Elephas maximus indicus: one gene and its partner. The protein of the gene in region 2 interacts with the protein of the main gene of each other region in a pairwise test. Links are inferred from orthologs where the notes say so. Each region holds a gene or a part of one and is shown on either strand. Other genes may lie near its edges.

Region 1 (11,373 bases), on a different chromosome or scaffold from region 2:
AAACTAATACACAGGGAAATTGAAAAAATCACAAAACTGGACATACATAACGTTAATTACTGATTTGAAAAGAACTGTGCTTCAAGCGATGCAAAGAATGCCCAAAATGTTCACTCCCTCATTCCAAAGGGTAAACTGAGGCAATTACAGGCGCAGTTTGGAAAAAAAAAAAATTGGCAGACCTAAGAGAAACTCAAATAGGTCTAATATTTACATAGCTGTGAACAAGAACAGTGTAGGTTTTTCCCTAAACACGCTCACTGGTAGAGCTCCTGGACAGACTAAACATAGGCAGCAGTTGTCACTGTGGGTGTTCTGCCAACACAAGTGTAAAGTTGTCATCAGAAATGAATCCGTGGCTTCAAATGGCTTACAGAAATCCAACAAATCTGTATCTTGGACTCTGTGCAAGCCAGCTCTTCTCAGGATGACCTGGACTCCTTCCCATTGGTACAGTTATCAATAAAAGCCATCCTTTATAAGCAGGGAAGGGAAATCAAAGTTTATGTCAGGGAAAAAAGATGATTGCCCAGAGTCCAAGTTCATGGATAACAATGCGTAAATAGTAGCCATACAGAATCAGTTACAGGTGATATCTCCCACTGTCACGTATAACTTTTAAAATCAATACCCACAGCACAGCTTAAAAACAGACCAAATAAAAGGATCAACAAAACCTAAAATGCTTTAACAGTGGGGCGTTATTAAACAGGTCATTCCAACAAAACATGGAAATCATGCTACATGGTTAAATTTAACTCCTCAACAAAAACATTAGTCTTTGTCAGAAGCCTCTGTATCCTGGATACCTTTTTCTCTTTTCTAGAGCTACTTTTAAGGGCCCTGAGTCTCCAGAATTTTCCTAAACATTTAACTCCAGTCACTTCAAATGTATGTTCCTTCTATTTCCCAGCTATCATCCTGCTGTTCTCCTACTAAGAAAATTCCAGGTTACTTTTCAGACAGACCAGTGAAGACATGTGATTTTCCCTTTTAGTAAACAATTCTTTAGGTTTTGCTGCAACAGTACGACTCTAAATTCTAAGCACAAGTGCTTTAAATCTAACTTTTCTAATACAGGCTCAACTCTTTAAATTAGCCATTTAAATTTCCCCACCAAAGACAAATGTCCATCAGATGTATTAACTATCATACTGGAAGTGAATTCACAATAAAACAGGCAATTTTTACTCATGTACCATGGAAAAAGGTTCTGTAATCTTTCAAAGCAAAATACACCAATAAATACATCAATTGAGGGGATCGAGATGAAACTGTGTATAAATCTGAGTACCTGGGGCTAGAGAGAGCGTAATCCCCTCGGAGAATATATAAGGTGGCACAATTTTGTATTCTTAAGTTCAGTGTTTTCGTTTTTCCTAGAACTGTGAGTCTGTACAGTGGTAGGCTGTGAAATCAGTTCGGTGGAAACTGACCTGCGTTTAGAAAATGAAATACTAGATTGCAGATGAGAAAATATCAGAGTGCTTTGCGCATGTAGTTGTTTACTGAAACTTTCTTCAATCTGTGTACAGGGTCAGTGCAAAATGTATTTCTTACTGAGGGTCTAAGTCAAAAAAGTTTGAGACATTGATCCAAAAGAATCCCAGGAAAGGAAAGAGAGCTAAATCAGATGAAAATGCAAGAAGCCTCTGAAGCAAAATCTACCTTCTTCAAAAACATATTTGTAATTATTTTGGGAAGCCAATACAAGATGCAGTCAATATGTTTGTATTGAAAGCAATAGTGAAAACTTAAGCCACTCCCTAAACACTTCATCTGCTCCCTTCTTTAATTTTGAGTGGGTAAAATAAAATATTTTGAAGAGATAATCAACTCCAGCATCTCTCATTTTAGAACAACAGTTTTCAACACTGGTGGAGATTTTGCCCCCTCCCCATCACATCTGGCAAGGTCTGGAGAAATTTTGGTGGTCAGAACTGGGGGTGGGGAGGAGCATAGGTGACTTGCTACTGGCATCTAGTGGATAGAAGCCAAAGATGCTGCTGAACATTCTACAATACACAGGTCGGAAAAAAAACACACAACAACAAACCTGTTGGCATTGAGTCATTATGACCCAATAGGACAGACTAGAATTGCCCACACGGTTTCCAAGGCTGTAACCTTTGAAGAAACAGACTGCCATGAAGCGGCTGGTGGGTTTGAACCGCCAACCTCTTGGTTGGCAGCTGAGCTCGTAACCACTGCGTTACCAGGGCACGCGCAGGACAGCCCCCCCACAATAAAGAATCATCCAGATCAAAATGTCAATAGTGCTAAGGTTGAGAAACCCTGTTTTAGGTCAAGATTGTACTCTTTCTAAACCTAAATAAATTGGGGACAAACACCCTAAACTCAGCTCACTTCAGTTCTTACAAGCTAAGCAACTGCATCGTACCATATCTACAGATAGAATTATAACTTTGTTGTTTTGCAAGTGCCAGAGAATGTGAAATCTCTGTTCATTATGAGTTCAAGGAAAATAATTTTTCATTTTGGGGGAGCAGTAAGTAGGAAAAGTATCTAAAGTGTACCTCATATGCAGTCAAGTTTATCACCATACACTACCTAGTATTTTTCTCTCGACTTAAATAAATCAGTGAATAATAAAGCAGTAAAGAGTCTGATACAGCCAATATGTAATGAAAATTTATATATTTTTCCAAAACATCCTGGAATAAACATTGCTTCATAGATGGGTCCTGTTTAAAAAAAAAAAAAAAAACTAGAAGAAAATATAATGAATAGGCAATGAGGTATCCAGGTGATGTATGGGTCTTCCTGTCCCCAACACCTAAATATAACCCTCCTTAAGCAGCTTCCTTCTTCTCCATATTCAGACATCGTCAAAGGAATAACAAAGAGAGACTAAAAATCTTTAAAAGTGTGGGAAGAAAAAAAAGGATATAGGGACAAAAATTCCTCAGAGACTAAGATATAGGCATTAACCAAACCCCTTGCTGTCAAGTCGATTCTGACTCATAACAATCCTGTGATCCTATTAAAAAAAAAAAAAAAAAACTAGTGTGATCCTATAGAACAGAGTAAAACCACCCCATAGAGTTTCCAAGGAGTGCCTAGTGGATTTGAACTGCTGACTTTTTGGTTAGCAGCTGTAGCTTCTAACCACTACGCCAGCAGGGTTTCCAAAATATAGGCATCGGAGACATAGAAAAAGCTTGTAAAGTGCTTAGCACATACTAAGTCCTCAAAAAAAGTTACCTATTATTTTCACACCAAGAATCACTTCAGATAAAGGTCTGCCTTGAGCATTATGCCCTGTTAAGAATCACCTATATGGGATCAAAGTGACAACAGCAACTTAAAAGATTAGATAAAAACCTTAGGATGCAGTGAATTTATGTTGAGAGAGGAACAACTCAAAGAAGGGGCGTGAGAACAAGTTGCACAACTAGAGGAATGTAACCGATGTCACTAAATTGTACATGCAGAAACTGTGGAATCGGGGTATGTTTTGCTATACATATTCACAACAATAAAATATATTAAAAAAAACTAAAATCAGAGCGCTTACCTCTAAAAACAAAAAGACTCACCTTAGTTCTTAAAGGAAAAACAAGACTCTTTAGAGGTGTAAGAAGGAAAGAAGTGGTGAGAAGTACCTGAATTACAATTGGAAACACAAAAAGAGCTACCTTTATTTTTCATTTAATCTTAATCACAATTATCCCTCCAAAGATTTAAATATTACAATTAAGATCTAAGTGCCCACTGACCAACCCAACCCACCTCCATCCCACTATATCCCTGGAAGTAACACTTTGCTGTGTACCTTTCCACAACTTTTTCTGTGTATTTACAGACAAATCTATTTGTCCATAGAAACGTGCATAATTTAGATTTTCCTCTGATGCCTGTCCAGGACAGCGTACAGAAGTTTCCCGTTCGTTTTAACAGTCATCTAAAGAAGCTAGTTGCCCAAATCAAAATTTCTCTCCTGCTTCCCACAAAACCTAGTGTGATGGATGGTGGGATGTACCGATGTGGGAAAAAATGCCAAATTCAAGGCTTTCCTACCAGGGAGGTGTATGGGATGGAGGCTCAAGGCGCCGTTACAGAAGTCATTGTGGATAAAATATCCACTCCCACACACCGTCACAGGCTTTGAATTCCCCTCCTTACAACCCCAAATGTAAGACTCCTTCTCTTGGAGCGCTGATTGGACGATTTGCCTACTGGCTTCAGATTTGGTCCATCCATTTACCGCCCGACTCCCGCATTCCCAACTGGGGTCCGATCCCCGCTTCTCGGATGGAGCCCAACCTATCGCGCGCTTCGTGCTCATTGGTTCAGTAAGCCGCTACTCAGGAGGGGAAAACCCGCCCCCCACATTCCGAAGGCCCAAGGACCTATCAGTCGGTGGCTGAAGGCAGACCCAATTGGCCTATAACCTCGCCAGTCACACGCTTGGGTTGTACAGCTCCGACGAAGCCACATAGATTAAAACATCCCGCCCCCTACTCTTCTATTGGTTGGGCCAAATCGCCGCTCCCCCTCCGCTATCCCCCACCTCGCGGTCCATTCATTTCACACAATAACGGGCCCAGCTGAAATCCATTTAAGACCTCGTACGGGTAGGCAAGATTGTCTGGCACTTACCAGCGATCGAGAGTGATCACTCAGGCTAACGTCTTTCCTGTTCCTCTGTGGCGAGGCCGGACCACAAGCCACCGCTGCCGCCGCCTTCTGCGCAACGCCAGCCGCCCGCCAAAACGGATCTTTCCCTGCGCCTGCGCGACCAATCCTGAGACCGGACCCTTTCTCCGCCCATTACGCCTGCGCATCTCCCGCCAGTACGCAGGCGCCGTAGGTTCACCGCCTCTCCCACCGCCATTTCACATGTTCCAAGTGGCAGCTGGAACTTCTTAGTGCGCCTGCGTAAACTCACCGTATTTTTTTTTTTTTTTAACATGCGCTGTGTAGGTAGTCTTCACCCCTCCCACCCGAAAGATTTTGTAACAGTCTAAATTCTTATCTAACGCACAAAAGTAAGCGTGCTTTGAAAAGGAATTGAATGTAATATTTGAAGAGTGGAGCGTCCAAAAGTTTAAATACGCTTAAGTACCTTCAAATATGAATGATAGGTCCGCTAGCCAATCAGACTAGTTAAGACATCACGACTCAGTAACCAATGAACTACAAGGGGTGGACACTGCGTAGACCGCCCAAACGGATGACGTTTCATAGCAGTGCGGCACCATAGACCAATAGTAGGAGGAAGCTATTTCAAATGTCCAATCAGAACTAAGAAGGGGCGGTGTCTACCAATGCCGACAGCGAGGAGGCGGGATAAAAAAGAGAGGCCGTAGGTAGGCTGGCAGATACGTGCGGTAGGTTACTCCTTTCTGCTTGTGGACGCCGCCGAGGGAACATCGTTAAGTAACCTCTTCTTACTACCGTCATGTCTAAGTCAGAGGTAAGCTACCCTTATCAACTTCATTTTGTTCCTCTTCCCTTCGTGAGTTCCGTAGATTTCGGCTTCGTTTCATCGCTCGAATTAGCCCATGCGGCAGTTCCTTCGGCCGCTGCCAGGGCTTACCCCTCCCAAAGTTGGAGTCGCCATTTTGTCCTCGTCGTCGCCATGAGGCCGCCATCCGGCAACCATTCGTTATCAGGCCAGGCTCTGGTTAAGTCCGGCAGAACTCTACGTCACGATTGATCTGTTTTTTCCCTTGATTGCATGGGCAAGTTTGTTTGTTTGTTTGTTTTTTTAAAGTTTCTAGTATTAGGTTGGCGACATACTCCTCCCGCCAAGTCCTATTGTTGCGCGTGCGTTTTAAAGCGCGTAGGGGCGCATGCGCTTGAGCTTGAGCTCTCGCGGATATTGCAGACTCAACACAGCGCCACCCCTGATAGGGAGAAGCACGTGGCTTGGAGCAGCCAGAAGGAACAATAAATGCTATGTACGTTGTTGCCTAGTTTTATGTGTCTGAACGGGAAACTGAGTATCGTTTTATAGCCTAACTTAACACCTGTTTTCCACCATTAGTCTCCTAAGGAGCCCGAACAGCTGCGGAAACTCTTCATCGGAGGTTTGAGCTTTGAAACAACGGATGAGAGTTTGAGGAGCCATTTTGAGCAATGGGGGACGCTCACGGACTGTGTGGTAAGACAAAAGGGTAGTAGTAAGACCGCCTTGGCTTGTTATTTCCGTAGTTCGTGTTTGAATGTAAAGATTGTTGATAGGATTGTAGTTTGGAAGGTATGATTTTGTTAATGGTTTGATTCTTCAGGTGTTCTTATAGGGTCTCGACTCCCCACAAGCAGTACTGAGAACTTAGAGGGCTTTGTAGTTACCCTACTATAAAGTTTTCCGTTTTCTTGCTTAACGTAGGAGTGATGATAGCTTCTGGGATCTTAGCATGTGCTAAGTGAATTAAATTTTTCAGGTAATGAGAGATCCAAACACCAAGCGCTCCAGAGGCTTTGGGTTTGTTACTTATTCTACTGTGGAGGAGGTGGATGCAGCCATGAATGCAAGGCCACACAAAGTAGACGGAAGAGTTGTGGAACCAAAGAGGGCTGTCTCACGAGAAGTAAGTTTTCTCTTTTAGCTATTTGGAAATGTGCCACTAAGTGGGTTTTAGTTTTTAATTTCATGTTCTCAATTTGGGGGTAGCTTTTGCTAAATAATTAAGTGGTGTTTTTCCTATTAAGGACTCTCAAAGACCAGGTGCCCACTTAACTGTGAAAAAGATCTTTGTTGGTGGCATTAAAGAAGACACTGAAGAACATCATCTAAGAGATTATTTTGAGCAGTATGGGAAAATTGAAGTGATTGAAATCATGACGGACCGAGGCAGTGGCAAGAAGAGGGGCTTTGCTTTTGTTACTTTCGATGACCATGACTCCGTAGATAAGATTGTCAGTAAGTATTAGATGACTGGAGCTTACTAAGGATTCTAAAATTCACCTGGTATTTGGAACCTTAAGGTTTTGTTTTCATTTTTTAGTTCAGAAATACCATACTGTGAATGGACACAACTGTGAAGTAAGGAAAGCCCTGTCAAAGCAAGAGATGGCCAGTGCTTCATCCAGCCAAAGAGGTGTGTTTGTTGCTCAGTTAAACCTTAAGGGTAATAGTGAGTAATCCAGTTTGTATGGTCTGACATGATTAATTTCTTAAGGTCGAAGTGGTTCTGGAAACTTTGGTGGCGGCCGTGGAGGTGGTTTTGGTGGGAATGACAACTTTGGTCGTGGAGGAAACTTCAGTGGGCGTGGTATGTGTGATTGTAGTTTCCAGTAAACTTGTAGTTTAGTTACCCCAGGTTAACACCCATTTTGCAATCTATGATAATATGTAACTAAAGAGCTACTGCTATCAAGTTCAGTACTATTCTTCTAACGCCTATGGGTCAGTAGAGATGCCCCGTGGGGTTTCCGAGACTAAATGTTTCACAAAAGCAGGCTGGTGGATTCCAACTGCTGCTGCAAAGTGCTTAACCACTAGACCCGTTTTATTTTTAAAAGTTCTTCTGGGTAATGAGTGAAATCACTGATTGGCGATTTGTTTTACAAAACAAAGGCTGCCGTTTAAAATTTAACTTTTTTCAGGTGGCTTTGGTGGCAGCCGTGGTGGTGGTGGATATGGAGGCAGTGGGGACGGTTATAACGGATTTGGTAATGACGGTGAGTATGGTTTTTTGGTTCATTTGTGGGTTTTTTATATGTATAAGGAACATGCAGGCAGTCTTCCGTTATCCTTAGAGTAGATTAGTAGAGACTAAAATTAGTGCATGGGAAGCTCAATTCTCACCATAATATGCATGCTGTGAGCAGGCTTTAGCCATTGCGCTTGCACAGATACTGATCATTGAATACTTTTGTCTTATTGAGAAGAATTGTATTCTTGTAGGTGGTTATGGAGGAGGAGGCGGTCCTGGTTACTCTGGAGGAAGCAGAGGCTATGGAAGTGGTGGACAGGGTTATGGAAACCAGGGCAGTGGCTATGGCGGGAGTGGCAGCTATAACAACGGAGGAGGCGGAGGCGGCTTTGGCGGTGGTAGTGGTAGGTATCCAGTGATCCAAGTCTTTGGTGTGATAGCTTAGACTAGCCTTAGTTTGCCCATTATTTTGGGGCTTGATGCTCTTAGAAGCATTATGTGTTACAGTGCATGGTATTCAAAAGTAAATGGACTTGCTGTGCTACCTCCTAGCTTCAAGCTGGGGCCGCCTCACTCCCAAAAAGATGAGTAAGTGGATAGTGGTGTCTTCATTTGGGGTTAGATTAGCCTCCGTTGCAGGATTTAGCATCTTAACTATTCTGTTGGGATCTTAGGCACTTAGTTGATATATCCAAGAAACTTGTCTGCAGTGGTCCTAGGTGAAAAGAAAAAAAAAAGAAAGCCTTCAAGGCTAGAAACAAAGTTCTTAAAATTTGTGCTTTAAAACTTTTGACACTCAATCTTACGGCGATTTGGGTTGATAATCAAGCTGCTGGATTGTTCGACATAATGCTTTGCCTAGACAAGATGGAAATGGAAGAATTACCAATTACTGGAGCCACCTTTTGGGTGGAGCCACCCTTTGGGAGGAAGGCAAGCAAATGTCAAAACAGCCTTTTTCACTTGTAAACACTAACAGAACTGGGAACTGTGATCTTCCTCCAAGTAACAGACAAAGGCCCTCTTTCCCTTCCTAGGAAGCAATTTTGGAGGTGGCGGAAGCTACAATGATTTTGGCAGTTACAACAATCAGTCTTCAAATTTTGGACCCATGAAGGGTGGAAACTTTGGAGGCAGAAGCTCTGGCCCTTATGGTGGTGGAGGTCAATACTTTGCCAAACCACGAAACCAAGGTATTGTGTATGTGTAATATTGGCTAATTGTAGCTATAGTTAGTACACTGGTAAAGGGAGCACTTCCCTTGCAAAGTTAGGCAAGGGCCATTTTTAAATGTTCTCTTGAACTTGTGATTTACCGTATGTATCATTGTCTCAAATGAGAGAAAATTAGAGCTTAAATTTCATTTTTAGGTGGCTATGGCGGTTCAAGCAGCAGCAGTAGCTATGGCAGTGGCAGGAGGTTTTAATGACTGCCAGGTAAGTAAGCACCTTTTCGTGTTTTGACTTAATTTTTTTTATAATTGCAAATGAACCCAGTAACCCTAATGTAGCTGAGCATTGCAACATAGTTAATATAATTGCAGTAAAATTGTGGATGGATATTAAGTTAATATTCAGAATAGCAAAATTTGTGGGAAACAACTTGCTATTGGATTGTAGTCTTGAGTCTTAATATGTTTAGATTAACAACTTTATTCCATATTGTTCAACAGGAAACAAAGCTTAGCAGGAGAGGAGAGCCAGAGAAGTGACAGGGAAGCTACAGGTTACAACAGATTTGTGAACTCAGCCAAGCACAGTGGTGGCAGGGCCTAGCTGCTACAAAGAAGACATGTTTTAGACAATACTCATGTGTATGGGCAAAAAACTCGAGGACTGTATTTGTGACTAATTGTATAACAGGTTATTTTAGTTTCTGTTCTGTGGAAAGTGTAAAGCATTCCAACAAAGGGTTTTAATGTAGATTTTTTTTTTTTCACCCATGCTGTTGATTGCTAAATGTAATAGTCTGATCATGACGCTGAATAAATGTGTCTTTTTTTAAGTGTGCTGTGTAAAGTTAGTCTACTCTGAAGCCATCTTGATAAACTGGCCCGACAGTGTGAAGTTTAGAATTCCTTCAGGGTGATGCCAGGTTCCATTCAATATTTATTTACAACCTTAGAAGACTGCTTGGGGGCAGAGCGAAGCCATTGTCTTCAGAAACCTTGGTGTAGTTGAACTGACGGTTATTGAGTTGTGACCTGGAGTTCACCATTACAGTGGTCACCCAAGCAAAATTATGGGATTTATTTGGTTATAAAAATGATTGTTGGCACATCCTATGCAATATATCTAAATTGAATAACGGTACCAGACAAAACTAGATGGGATTGAAACTTATGTATCCATTATCGTGTGTAATCAATAAACGATTTAATATCTTGAATGATATGACAACTGTATGGATTTGGGACTGGCAGAGATTTGGACGTACCCTACCCACTATCCCTGAGCAATGTTGAATGCCCTTCCAAATTCTCGTTCAAAACTCTGCCAGAGAATAGAGACCAGCTGGCTAATGGCTACCCCTTAAGTCCACAGATTAGAAGCATTGGGAGAGACCTTTTTAGAATAAGACCAGTACCAAATTTTATTCTCAACATTAAGAAATAGGTTTACATTAAAGGAAAACTGCAGTTTTTTTTTTACTGGGTTGTGGTTGGGTGAATCTTTGTATAGATTAAGCACAGTTCGCTGGAAGTTTAAAAAATTAGTAACGGTAAAGAACATAGTTGTTAGCCATATAAATTTGTCTTAACTGCAGTTTTCCTTTAAATATGGCACAGGAGCACACAACCATCTTGAAGTGTTAATTGTATAGAAAATGATTCTTAAATCTTCGATTGGTTACTTAATATCCGATAATTGTTATTTGTACGTAGGTTCTTCTGAACCTTCATTTTGGTGCCCTCTCAATTTCAGTGCCATTGTACCTAGTAGTAATAGAGCTTGTCAATCAATAGGACTGTGTATTTCATCCCATGGGTGTGTTGCTTAAAGTTTGGGGAGGAGGGTGGAGGGGGGGTGGGAGGTGGTGGATGGGGGGGAAGCATGGATGATAGTTCCGTGGGTTTGGTATTGGCTGAGTTTGCAATAGCAGGTGAAACCTTAACTGTTGAGGGAGTTTGCAGATACCTCAGGACTCCTGACAATGCCTTTAAAGATCCAGGAGAGATGTTCAGCTACTAGGAACTGCTAGCAAGTAATAGCGCGAATGGCTCCGAGCTCAGACACTCTACAGCTGAGAGTAGACACTTGTGGTATGTGAAGTACAGATAAGCCAGGGGCAGGCACGGCTCGCTCCATGAAAGCTAGGAGGGAGTGAAGTTTCAGTGACCATCGCAAGGAAGGAGGCAGACAAGAGTAAGGCACACACCTGACTCTTAGGACTAGCAGTCAGAACCAGAAGGAAAGGTTTTATTGCTATGCTGGTAGGTAAGAACAGATTTTACTTACATCCATATAGTTATCTAAAATCCAATTTTCTGTTAAATGCTTCTTACTATATTGAGCCAAAAAAAAAACTAGTCCGGTTAAGCTGAACTTGGTTTTTCTGGAGATGAACTGTAAATCAATGCCCTAGTCTTGCTGGCTCTCAATTGAAAGAAGTGAGCACTTAAATTATTTCTACTGTAATTAAATTACTTACACTGTGATATATTTTTACCCTTTAATTTTGATTTTTACTTTCCTTTTACCTCTTAAAATAACGGCTCAAAGTAATGCATTACGATCTTTTCCCC
Region 2 (10,428 bases):
TGATAAGATGGTATCCTTGTGAAATGAGAAAAGGAAGTACCTTTTCAGAGGATGCAACTCTATACCTGACCACATGGCCTATTAAAAGGAATGCTGCCTGAATTTCAGTCCCCATTTTTCCTCTTTGCTAGGTACCTCTATGAAATCAACCCAGCTTGGATGTATTTCAATGGCTATACTGGTGTGTACCAGCTTGGAACGTTAGCCCTGCCAGGGCGTCGCTATTACACTTTGATTAAAAGCCCCAGGACTAATTAAAGGCACACACTGTGTGGGCACACACACTGGAAACACACAGGGGGAGAAGCCGCATACACACGTACCGCCCCATCTCCATACCTCTCCCACGTACTCCATGACAAAGCTGTTCTTGCGGATCTTCTCCAGTGTGCGGACGCCCCAGCCACGGCCATCAGCTGTGCGGAAGATGCAGAGGTCGTAGCGAATGCCCTTCTGTACCACGCGATTGGGGCAGTCATAGCCGCAGCGGCAGCGTGAGTTGCACTCGTAGATGGGCAGCCCGGCTCGCAGCCGCACCTGGCCCTGGTCGTTGTAGGCAAACTTGTGCAGTGATGCCCCTGGACAGCAGCCTCCAGCAGGAGCCCACAAACAGTCCTGGCACTCGCAGCCCACAGCCACCTGGTTGAGCGTGATGCCCTCACCAACACGGTACTCATTGATGTACACAAAGGCCCGAGGAGGCCCGTCCAGGTCCACCTCATTCTCCACTGTGATGCGTCCCAGGTGGCTGCGCTTGGCATTGAGCTCCTGCTCCCACCGCCGCAGTGCCCGCCTCTGCTTGGCCTTCTGCACCAGGTAGTTGGCCAAGCTTGGGTCCAAGTGCCGAGGTGGCTTTGACCGGTGGTGTCGCCGGAGCAGCTCCCTTTCTAAGTCCTTGTGGAACTGCTTGAGAATGCGTACACACTTGAGATTCTGTCGTGGCTCCCAGGTGCTCTCTGAGTCTGGGTATCCACGCCACTTTACCAGGTAATACTCCTGTTCCTGTTGGGGGGCAAAGGGACAAGAGCACTATAAGTGGTGAGACCCTTGTGCCAGCCCTTGTGGGACTTCCACTCCAAAGCATATGGATAATGCCCACATCACTCCCCTCTGCCCACATCACTCCCCTCCGCCCTTTTCTAATCCATACAGTGATTAGAAAGCATGGGCTTTGGAGTGAGGATTTACTAGGTTCAAATTCCACTCTCCTACTTAACTACTACCTGTCCAAATCCCATTAATCTAATCTCCTAAACCTACTCCCTCCACACCATCTTTGCCATCTCAGTAAACATCAGCTCCATGCTTCTACCTGCTGAGCTCAAATTCCTGGTCATCCTTGACTCTCTTTCTCACACTCCCCACAACCACCTGCAGCAAATCCTGCCAGCCCAACCTTCAAAATACCTCCAGAATCCAACCACTTCAAACCATCCTCACTGCCACCACCATCATTGCTTGCCTGGGCTGTGTCCCCCGGCTTCCACTCTCACCCCCTATAGCACAGATTTGAGAGTTAGATACCCTGAGTACAAATCCTAGATCTGCCATGCCCTAGCTGTGTGACCTTAGGCAAGTCATTTAACTTTGCTGGGCCACAGTTTCCTCATCTGTAAATAAGAATATAGCTAACATCTTACTAGCATTCATTAGGTAACAGGTCCCATGCGTTATTAACTAATTTATTCCTCACAACACTCTATTATCACCCCCATTTTACAGATCAGGTAAGTGAAGTACAGAGAGTTTGGGAAAGTAGCCCAAGGTTACACAGCCAGGATTGGAACCCAAGCAGGCTGGCTCTAGTCTTAACTATCCTTCACTAACCTCCTCTAGCAACAGTAACAGTTCCCACTTCACAGTTAGGGGAGTTAAATGAGTTTCTTAGGAAGTGGCTGGCACACTGAAAGTACTCAGTAACTGTTACCTATCATCATCTCCACTCCTGGGCTCAGCATCTAAGAAGTATTCTCAATCTTTGCAATTGGTTTGTCTTCCTAGGGAGGTGGGAAGAAAGACTTATTTGGGGATTCATTCTGGCTTCTGCCCCCTCAGAAAGCCACTTAGTTTCCCCACCTGTAAAATGGACATGAGACATCTTTTAGGATCGAAGGAGAAAATTCCGTTTGGAAAACAAATGCAGGCAGTGGGAGGCAGGAGGGCAAGAAGCCTACTCCCTTGAGACACTCCTCCCCGGCCCAGGATCACGGTCACCCCCAGACTCACACGAATCTTCTTGTAGTCACACAGGTACTCGACTTCAAAGTCATAAAGATTCCTCTTGGAGATACCGAGGGAAGGGCAGGAGAGCTTGGCCAGGCGGCACAGGTCCTGTAGCTGATTCCAAGAAGACTTGCAACACACGCTGCAGCCTGGAACAAGGGGGCAGGAAGAACTATTACTGGGTAGCCTGGCCAGGCACCCAAAAGGACCCCAAATCCTCCCTGGGACTTTCCAAGGACTGCCTCAGTCAGATTTAATCCACAGGCCTTTCCGAAAGCTGGGACCCTTCTATAACCAAAATGTGCCATTTCCTTGAACCCCAAGGCTCACTGCTCAAGGCTACCCCTGGAGCAGAGGTCCTCAAAGTCTGTCCTAAAGGAATCAATTCCCAGAGCTTCTAACTCCCTTACTATTTGTTAAAACTTCCAGCAAACCTGCCTAGAGTTCGGAATCTGAGCACCCTTCTCCTCACTTTACAAAAGAAAGGGAACAACCCCCCCATCTCAGTAGGATGCTCTAAGGGGAAGGTGGTGGGGGCGAGAATTAAAACCTCCAGGGCACAAAACAAAGGCAAAACTGGAAAGACTGGTCCACAATGTCTTATCTGAAAAGGCGGGGGGGGGGGGGGGGGGCAGATATGTTTAAAAAAAAATCTTTTTTTACAAATGTATTTCCATGTATCTACCATAACACCCCCAGTACTTAGGGTATCATGCCATAATCAAATGCATTAATATATCTACAGCAAAAGTAAGAATTTTCACATTAAATAGGAGAAATAAAAATGTAAAATAGTGGCACTGAATAGTTCTACCTTATAATCTAGTTTTGCCACTGAATGGTGCCCAATTTAAGAAAAAGATTTCAGTTTTCAGGATTTTTTAGATTTCAGAATTTTTAATAAATGTGGAATGGTAGATTACAGGCAACTTCCTTGAATGAGTAGTCTTGGTACCTTAAACCCCACTGCATTTTTTTCACATTGTGGTTTGACTTTCCCTGCTTCATCCACATTTCTGTGAAGGGTAAAGCTGGCCCAAATGGGTATGTTCTGAATTCAGGAATAGGCAAAGCAGTATATGTTTGTGATGATTCTTTTAAATATGCCTGGAATGTTTTCTGGGGCTACCAAAAATTTTTAGGACACACTGATTAAAAAAATAAAGATTTATATTTGATTCCACATTGTTTTAGAAGTCATTTTATCAAATCATTTCACAACACCTATTTTATAGTTTTTAAGTGTTTAACATTTTCTACCTCCCATTACAAAAATCAAGTTTATTTAAACTCACGATAAAGTATGTCAACCTAAAAATATACAAGAGCTTTTCAAAATTATTTCATGTACACTTCCCTCCTCCACTTAGGCAGGCCTAGACTCTTCAACTCTGTATCTCCCTTCCAGGCTCTGGGCCTAGGCCCAGGCTTTCCCCTCCCTGTGATGCCCTCTCCCTTCCAAACCCCTTAACTCGTATTCAAAACCCCCCATCTCAAGTGGTCCCAACTAACATCGCCAGCTGCTGGCTCCAGCATGCACTTGGCACTGACCTGGCTACACTCTCCTAGCCCTCAGAGGTCCCCCCACCCCCCACCGCCACACTTGTGGTCTCTCATCCTCCCCGCAGCTTTCCTCAGAGAGGAGCCCACTCCACCACCCTCCATACTGAGAAAATCACCCTTTCCCTGCACACTGGGGAATCCACTTCCCCCCATCCTGGGGGAGTCCACTCTACTCCAAACTCCTTCCCTGCTTACCCCTGAACAGTACCCTGTCCCCCCACTGAGTGGATCACTTAGCATCTATACCCAAGGGTCGGGCTCCCTCTCCTCCCTTTCCGGCATCTCGCGTGGGCACCAGGCGGGTAACGGTCACCGGCGGCCCATTTTCCCGCGCGCGGGTGCGGCCTCCCGGACGACCCCCTGCGCGTACGCGCGCCGGTCCAGTCGCGACCTGGAGCACGCGCTCCCACGCCCGCCCCATCCCGCGCCCGCCCTTCACCCCGCGCCGGCCACGTTCGGAGACACGCGCCCCTTCCCACAGCCCCGCCCAGCCCCGCGCACCAGGCCCGCGCTCCCCGAGCCCCATCCTTTCCACGCCAGGCTTCCAGCTGCCGGCTCCGTGGCCTCGGATGCCGGGCCCCTGAGCCCGCTGCGCCATCCCTCCAGCCCACCCCGGCCCTGCCAGCGAGCCTGCGCCGCTGCCGCCACCGCTTCACCTTTTAAATTTTCCGCCATCTTTCCCCACGGCTAACGACATTCGGGCCTACTCGGCCTCGCGAGAAGAGAGCTCGCGCGGGCGTGGCCGAGAACGCACAGCCTATTGGCCACGCCGCGCAGCGAGCGGCGCCCGCGCGGACCAACCGGCGAGCGTGACCGGACCCCTCCCCGCCACCCCACCGGTCCCGAAGGCGGGTGCTTGCCTTCGGTTTCCCAGAGTGCGCCTGGGCGGTGGCAGCGGCAGCACCGGTAGCTGGGGCTGCCGGAGGCCCTGCCTGTACGCGGGTCTGTCTGTCACGCTGTTAGCCAATCACGTTGTTAACAGTCGTAGAGGCGGATTCTCCGTCCTGTCAGACCCCCAGTTAGCACTGTCAATCAGCCAGTCGCCCAGTTCAGGTCACCACAGCTGTCTAGTCAGACACCCCACCCCCCTTACACCCTATCAGTCTGTCAGGGAGTAGCGGCATCCATTTGTGTCCTCAGGCCAGCTGCAATGCCCTCAACTCAGACTGCACTTACTACCAACTCCCCTTGTTAGCCAGCCTGACCGCTCCTTTACATTGTCAGTCAATTAGCCTGTCATACCACGTACCCTTGCCCTGGGACCTGGAGGAATCATCTCATACACCCCTCAGTAAGCCACAGCATCGGGCCATGCCCTTAGGCAGGCTGTGATTAGGTCAGGACAAGCTGTCATTTTCAGCATCTAACATAGCCCTGTCACCCTGTAATTCCCTCAGGTTGCTACTCATTCACACCATGATCAGCCAGTTAATCAGTCTTAACACCGAGCTAGGCCTTCAGAGCAAATAGTCACAGCGACTAATGGTACAATAGAGCCTCCACACTACCCGTCAATAGGTCAGCCAGTCTGTAATTTCTCAGGCTACTTATCCACACCATTGGCCGGTCAGTCAATCTCCTGTGACCCATTGGGCTCTATCAGGGAGCCTGTGATTCCATCAGGGCAAACAGTCCATAACCATGTACAGCCACCAAGTGAGGCAGTTATGCTAAGTTTTCAGATGGTCAGGCAGCCTGTGATTCCTTCAGTTGGTCCTTCATCATATTGTCAGTCAGCCGGTTCGTCATCCTCAGAATCCAACTGACCACACTGTCTGTCAGAGAGTCATTCAGTCAGAGCAACCATCCAGGCCCTCAAGCATGCTGTGGTTCACTCAAGATGAACAGTGTCTTAGTTCTCTAGTGCTGCGACAACAGAGATACCACAAGTGGATGGGTTTAACAAAGACATATTTGTTCTCTCACAGTCTAGTAGGCTAGAAGTCCAAATTCAGGATGCCAGCTCCAGGGAAAGGCTTTCTCTCTTTGTTGGCTCTGGAGGAAGGTCCTTGTCATCAATCTTTCCCTGGCCTAGGAGCTTCTCAGCACAAGAACCCTGGGTCCAAAGGACACACTATTCTCCTGGCTCTTGTTTCTTGGTGGCATGAGGTCCCCCTGTCTCTCTACTCGCTTCTGTCTTTTATATCTCAAAAGAGATTGACTCAAAAGAACCTAATCTTGTAGAATGAATCCTGCCTCATTAACATAACTGTCTCTAATCCTGCCTCATTAACATCATAGAGGTAGGATTTACAACACATAGGAAAATCACATCAGATGATGAAATGGTGGATAATTACACAGTATGTGAATCATGACCTAGCTAAATTGACATTTTGGGGGACACAATTCAATCCATAACAGTCAGTCACCATATATAGTAGCCTATCAGCCAAACCAAACCCATTGCCATCAAGTTGATTCTGACTCATAGGGAGCCAATAGGACAGAGTAGAACTGCCCCACAGGGTTTCCAAGGAACAGCTAGCTGGTGGATTCAAACTGCTGAACTTTTGGTTAGCAGCCGAGCTCTTAACCACTGCACCACCAGGGCTCCCATCAGCCAAAAGACCTCCATAAAGTTTTAAGAAGCAAAGATATCACTTTGACAACTAAGGTGTGCTTGACCCAGGCCATGGTCTTTTCAATCTCATATGCATGGAAAGGCTGGACAATTAAAAGGTAGACAGAAGAAGAATTGATGCATTCGAACTGTGATGTTGGCAAGGAATATCAAATACACTGTATACTGCCAGAAGAACAAACAAATCAGTCTTAGAAGAAATACAACCAGGATGAGACTCCGACTCACTTACTTTGGACATGTCATCCCAAAAAGCAGTCACTAGAAAAGGACATCATGGTTGAAAATAGAGGGTCAGTGAAAATGAAGGAAACCTTTAATGAAATGGACTGACACATAGCCACAACAATAGGCTCAAACACACCAATGATCATGAAGATGGCACAGGACCAGGCAATGTTTCATTCTGTTATACTTAAGGTTGTCATGACTTGGAGCCAACTCAATGGCAACTAACAATAACAACAACATCAGGCAACCACAGATTTGTTGATCAGTCAACCTGAAATTCAGCGTAGCCCTTCTTTACGCATCATCAGACTATAACATTTAGACATTCCCTCAGCCCTGTAACATCCTGCCTCCCAGTCCGGCAGCAACACCATCAGTCAGTTGGTCAGCCTGTAACTCTTTCAGGAGGCTCCTTGTCCTCCACACTGTCAGGCCACCAGCCCCAGCCAGGCCCAGGCGGGCTGTAAGTCAGTCAGATGTTCAGTACTTCACAGCATCAGGAAACCACATTGTCAGTTCCTCAAATTGCCCCTCTCCCTGTTGGTCCATGAGTTGCACAGTTAACCAAATGGTTATACAGTTAGCCAGTTATTCTGTCTTCCTGCTAGTCCAGCTGTGAGCTGATTGGAGGAATGGCTGGTCAGTCTGACGTTCTATCAGCCCCTCCTTACCATAAGTGTAACAGTCAAAAGCGTAATCCCACCAGGCATGCCCCTTCCCTCCTTTATTCTTTCTAGAACAGAGTCACATGCTGGTCCTCACGTGCCCCAGTCTCCTTGGGTGGCCTGGGCCATCCCACTTCCAGAGGCCTTGGAGACCTGCCCAACCCACAAGAGTGGTTTAAGGCATGACCTTTTTCCACCTGAATCTGGAGGGGAGCTATAGGGGTCTGCTAGTGATGAAGAGCTTCCTTTGGGCCTCTCCAAACAATATAATGTATCGGGTAAAGGCATGGATTCTGGAGCCAGACTGCCTGGGTTCAAATCCTGGCTCCACCACTTACTAAATTGTGTGACCTTATACAAGTTAACCCTATGGACTAGTTAACCCTTTGGGACTAGCACCTTTTCAGGAGACCTCAAAAGTAAGAGGTCATCCTAGTACTCCTGTGTCCTGCCTAAAGCCATTTGTCTGTTTGTTCAGCATTAATCCAGTGCCTCTTGTGTATATTGCCTCTCTTAGTGCTGAGGGCATAAGGTTTTATCCATTTTAAGCTGCACAGGTTGAACCTGTTTTTAATGTAAACCTCATGGTGAAGTGTAACACACATACAGAAGAGTACATAGACCATGGGAGAATGTCATGAAGAGTTTTTACAAGTGAATACGCATGTAGAACCAGAAGGCAGGTCAAGAAACAACATAACCAGCCAGGCCTCCAGAACTGTTTAATTTTTTAACATCTCTGAAATCAGCCTGTGTCTTACAAGCACTGTTGGGTCATAATTTAATTGGTAGGTTTTTTTTTTTTTTTTTTTTTTTTGCTTTTCTTAGTGATCCATAAAATAATGGTGTATTTTATAATTTTATAAATCAATGGTGAGTCAGAGTCAGTGAAATTCAGTAATAACAATAACAACCACAGCAACAATAGTGGCAGCTAATGTTTATAAATGCCTACAATGATCCAGACAGTTTGCAGACACCATCTACTTTAATTCTCAATACAGCCCTATGAGGTAAGCATTTTTATTTCTATTTTAAAGACTGAGGAAACTGGGGCCCAAAGAGGTCAAGTAACTCACCCACGGTCAATTCTTTCACCTCGAGTCTCTGCCTTCTCTAGCCCATGCTCAAGGGGATTCAGAGGTTGGGTGATGCCTTCCTATCCAAAGGTGGAGAAACGGCCCTAGCACCCAGCAGAAGGGAGATGTCTTGGAGCACTGGATTTCTAGGCTTTCTGCAGGGGTGGGGAGGGGGTAATTGATACCTGACAGGTCCTTTCTAGACTCAGTGCTCATGCTGGGAGCCTGGCTGGTTAGGGTGGGAGTGGAATAATGAAATATTTCAAAAATTAAAAGAAACCTGAGACACGCCCCCTCCTCCTCCTCAAGGGGAATTTCCCCTTACATGGTTCTGGGAGAATTTTTAAGGGGCAAAGCCAGCTCCCACTCCTGATATCTTATCCCCAATGCCCCCAATGTCTAGCTGGTTTCCTCCCTCTCCCTCTACCTCCACCTCAATGGTTCAGAAATTCTTCTGCTGCTCTTGGAAACCTGGATTCTCCCTCACCTTTATCTTCCTGCCCCTCTCCTCCTCCTTCTCTAAAGGTAGGATACCTGAGATGTTAAATCTACCAGATTTCAGAAATGCAAAGGGTTAAATTCTTTGATTTTAGGCTTTAATGTGCAAGAGTTTCTAATTACTCCCCTGGGAAGAGCTTCAAACACAGGGACAGGTTTGAGTTACTCCTTTTTTGGAGGAGGATGTCGCGGAGGAAAGGGGAGGAGTCAGTGGCAATAAATGTTTGTGGAAAGAAAGAAGGACAGAAGGAAACAAAAAACCAGGCTAAATGACTAAGTGAATAAATGAAGGCATATATGTAAAGCTAGATAAATAACAGGGACCACATTTGGAATATAAGCAAACTCAGATTTAGAGAGACAAAAAGACAATTACTTTATCTTTGTTTCAAAAATGAGTGAGGAGGATTGAGAAATTTCATACAAAAAGGGGCCTGGCTATTGCTAGGGTGAGTGTGGGGGCCTGTCAGGGATAACAGCACTGGGTAGGGGGTTGATTGGGAAGAAACAGCGCTTAGCGCCTGGATGCAGACAGTAGGGTGCTGCCAGTGGGAAGCAGGGAGCCACAGGTGGACTATGGGGAGGTACACTGGGGACAGCAGCTCAATCGTCCCATTCATCATCCTCATCCTCATCACCGGCCTGGTCCTCCCCTTCATCTGGAGGGAGAGAAAGAGAAGGACATGGAGTGGGAACTCAGGATGGAGCCTCTGGAAGGGTAGTTCCTAGGGCTTGAAAGGCCAGGACTCATGGTGCTGGGGAATGAGGTCTCCTGTTAGGAAATCAGATGTGGGACCTATGCGGCTAGATGAGGAGGGGCCTCTTCAGAGGTGTGAGAGTAGGAGTTTCAGTTTGGGACAAGATAGGGGTTACAGTTGGGGTCTGGGTTCCAGTTGGAGTTAAAATTAATATTATTGTCAAAAATGTGGTTAGTTTTGATACTGTCACCCAAAGGGTTAATGTTAATCAGTATGCTACTTAATGGGTGAATTTGAAAATTATTGTTAAAGGTGAGGTAAGTTATAATATTATTGTCTCATAGTGGGTTAATGTTAGTATTGTTGACTCATTTTTTTTTAGGGAGTTAATATTAACACTTTGTAAAAAGGTTGGGTTAGTTACATTATTATCAACATCACATAATGAGTTAACCTTAATCTTGTTGACATATTATGGGGTTAAAGTTAATATTGTGGACACACCTTGGCATTAATGTTAATATTATTGTCAAAGACAGAGTTAATTATATTGTCACATAAGTTTGTGTTAACATTGTCAAGTAACAAGATTTCTGCTAATACTGTCATCAACACCTGGGGCTAATGTTAATACTGATGGTGACTGTTGGGGTTGCTTTTATGCCATTCCTAGCCCTGAAAAGCAGGTGCTTGGTCCTGGCAGGATGGGCCCAGGACAGGCCTGTGGAGGAGAGCCACAGGCTGGGGAGGGCTGGGCTCTCACCTGAGGAATGGATAGCTCTGCTTCTCTTCTGCATCACGTGCATCAGGGCCCCCACCAGCCCCTCTGAGCTCTGTGGTGGTGGCTGCAGTGCTGAGCTCTCTGGGGCCCCTGGAGTCTGCAGCAA

The links. The genes of interacting proteins can lie anywhere in the genome.
Region 1: the proteins of SUV39H1 (region 2) and CBX5 interact in binary tests that used the Homo sapiens proteins (3 or more experiments, as listed by UniProt). The link is inferred for Elephas maximus indicus from reciprocal best matches to the Homo sapiens genes SUV39H1 and CBX5.

Annotation. Positions count from the first base shown.
Region 1 is NC_064822.1:109,772,800-109,784,172, forward strand, and holds the start of CBX5 (chromobox protein homolog 5), read right to left. Parts: upstream 4,760-11,373; 5' UTR 4,624-4,759; intron 1-4,623. Other genes in the region: HNRNPA1 (heterogeneous nuclear ribonucleoprotein A1), read left to right, coding at 5,426-5,440, 6,014-6,130, 6,414-6,560, 6,682-6,892, 6,978-7,070, 7,152-7,244, 7,579-7,653, 7,880-8,032 and 2 more. UniProt on the Homo sapiens protein: Component of heterochromatin that recognizes and binds histone H3 tails methylated at 'Lys-9' (H3K9me), leading to epigenetic repression. In contrast, it is excluded from chromatin when 'Tyr-41' of histone H3 is phosphorylated (H3Y41ph).
Region 2 is NC_064846.1:122,904,138-122,914,565, reverse strand, and holds the start of SUV39H1 (histone-lysine N-methyltransferase SUV39H1), read right to left. Parts: upstream 4,371-10,428; 5' UTR 4,313-4,370; coding exon 4,288-4,312; intron 2,373-4,287; coding exon 2,227-2,372; intron 1,003-2,226; coding exon 340-1,002; intron 1-339. Other genes in the region: actin nucleation-promoting factor WAS, read right to left, coding at 9,447-9,502, 10,305-10,419. UniProt on the Homo sapiens protein: Histone methyltransferase that specifically trimethylates 'Lys-9' of histone H3 using monomethylated H3 'Lys-9' as substrate. Also weakly methylates histone H1 (in vitro).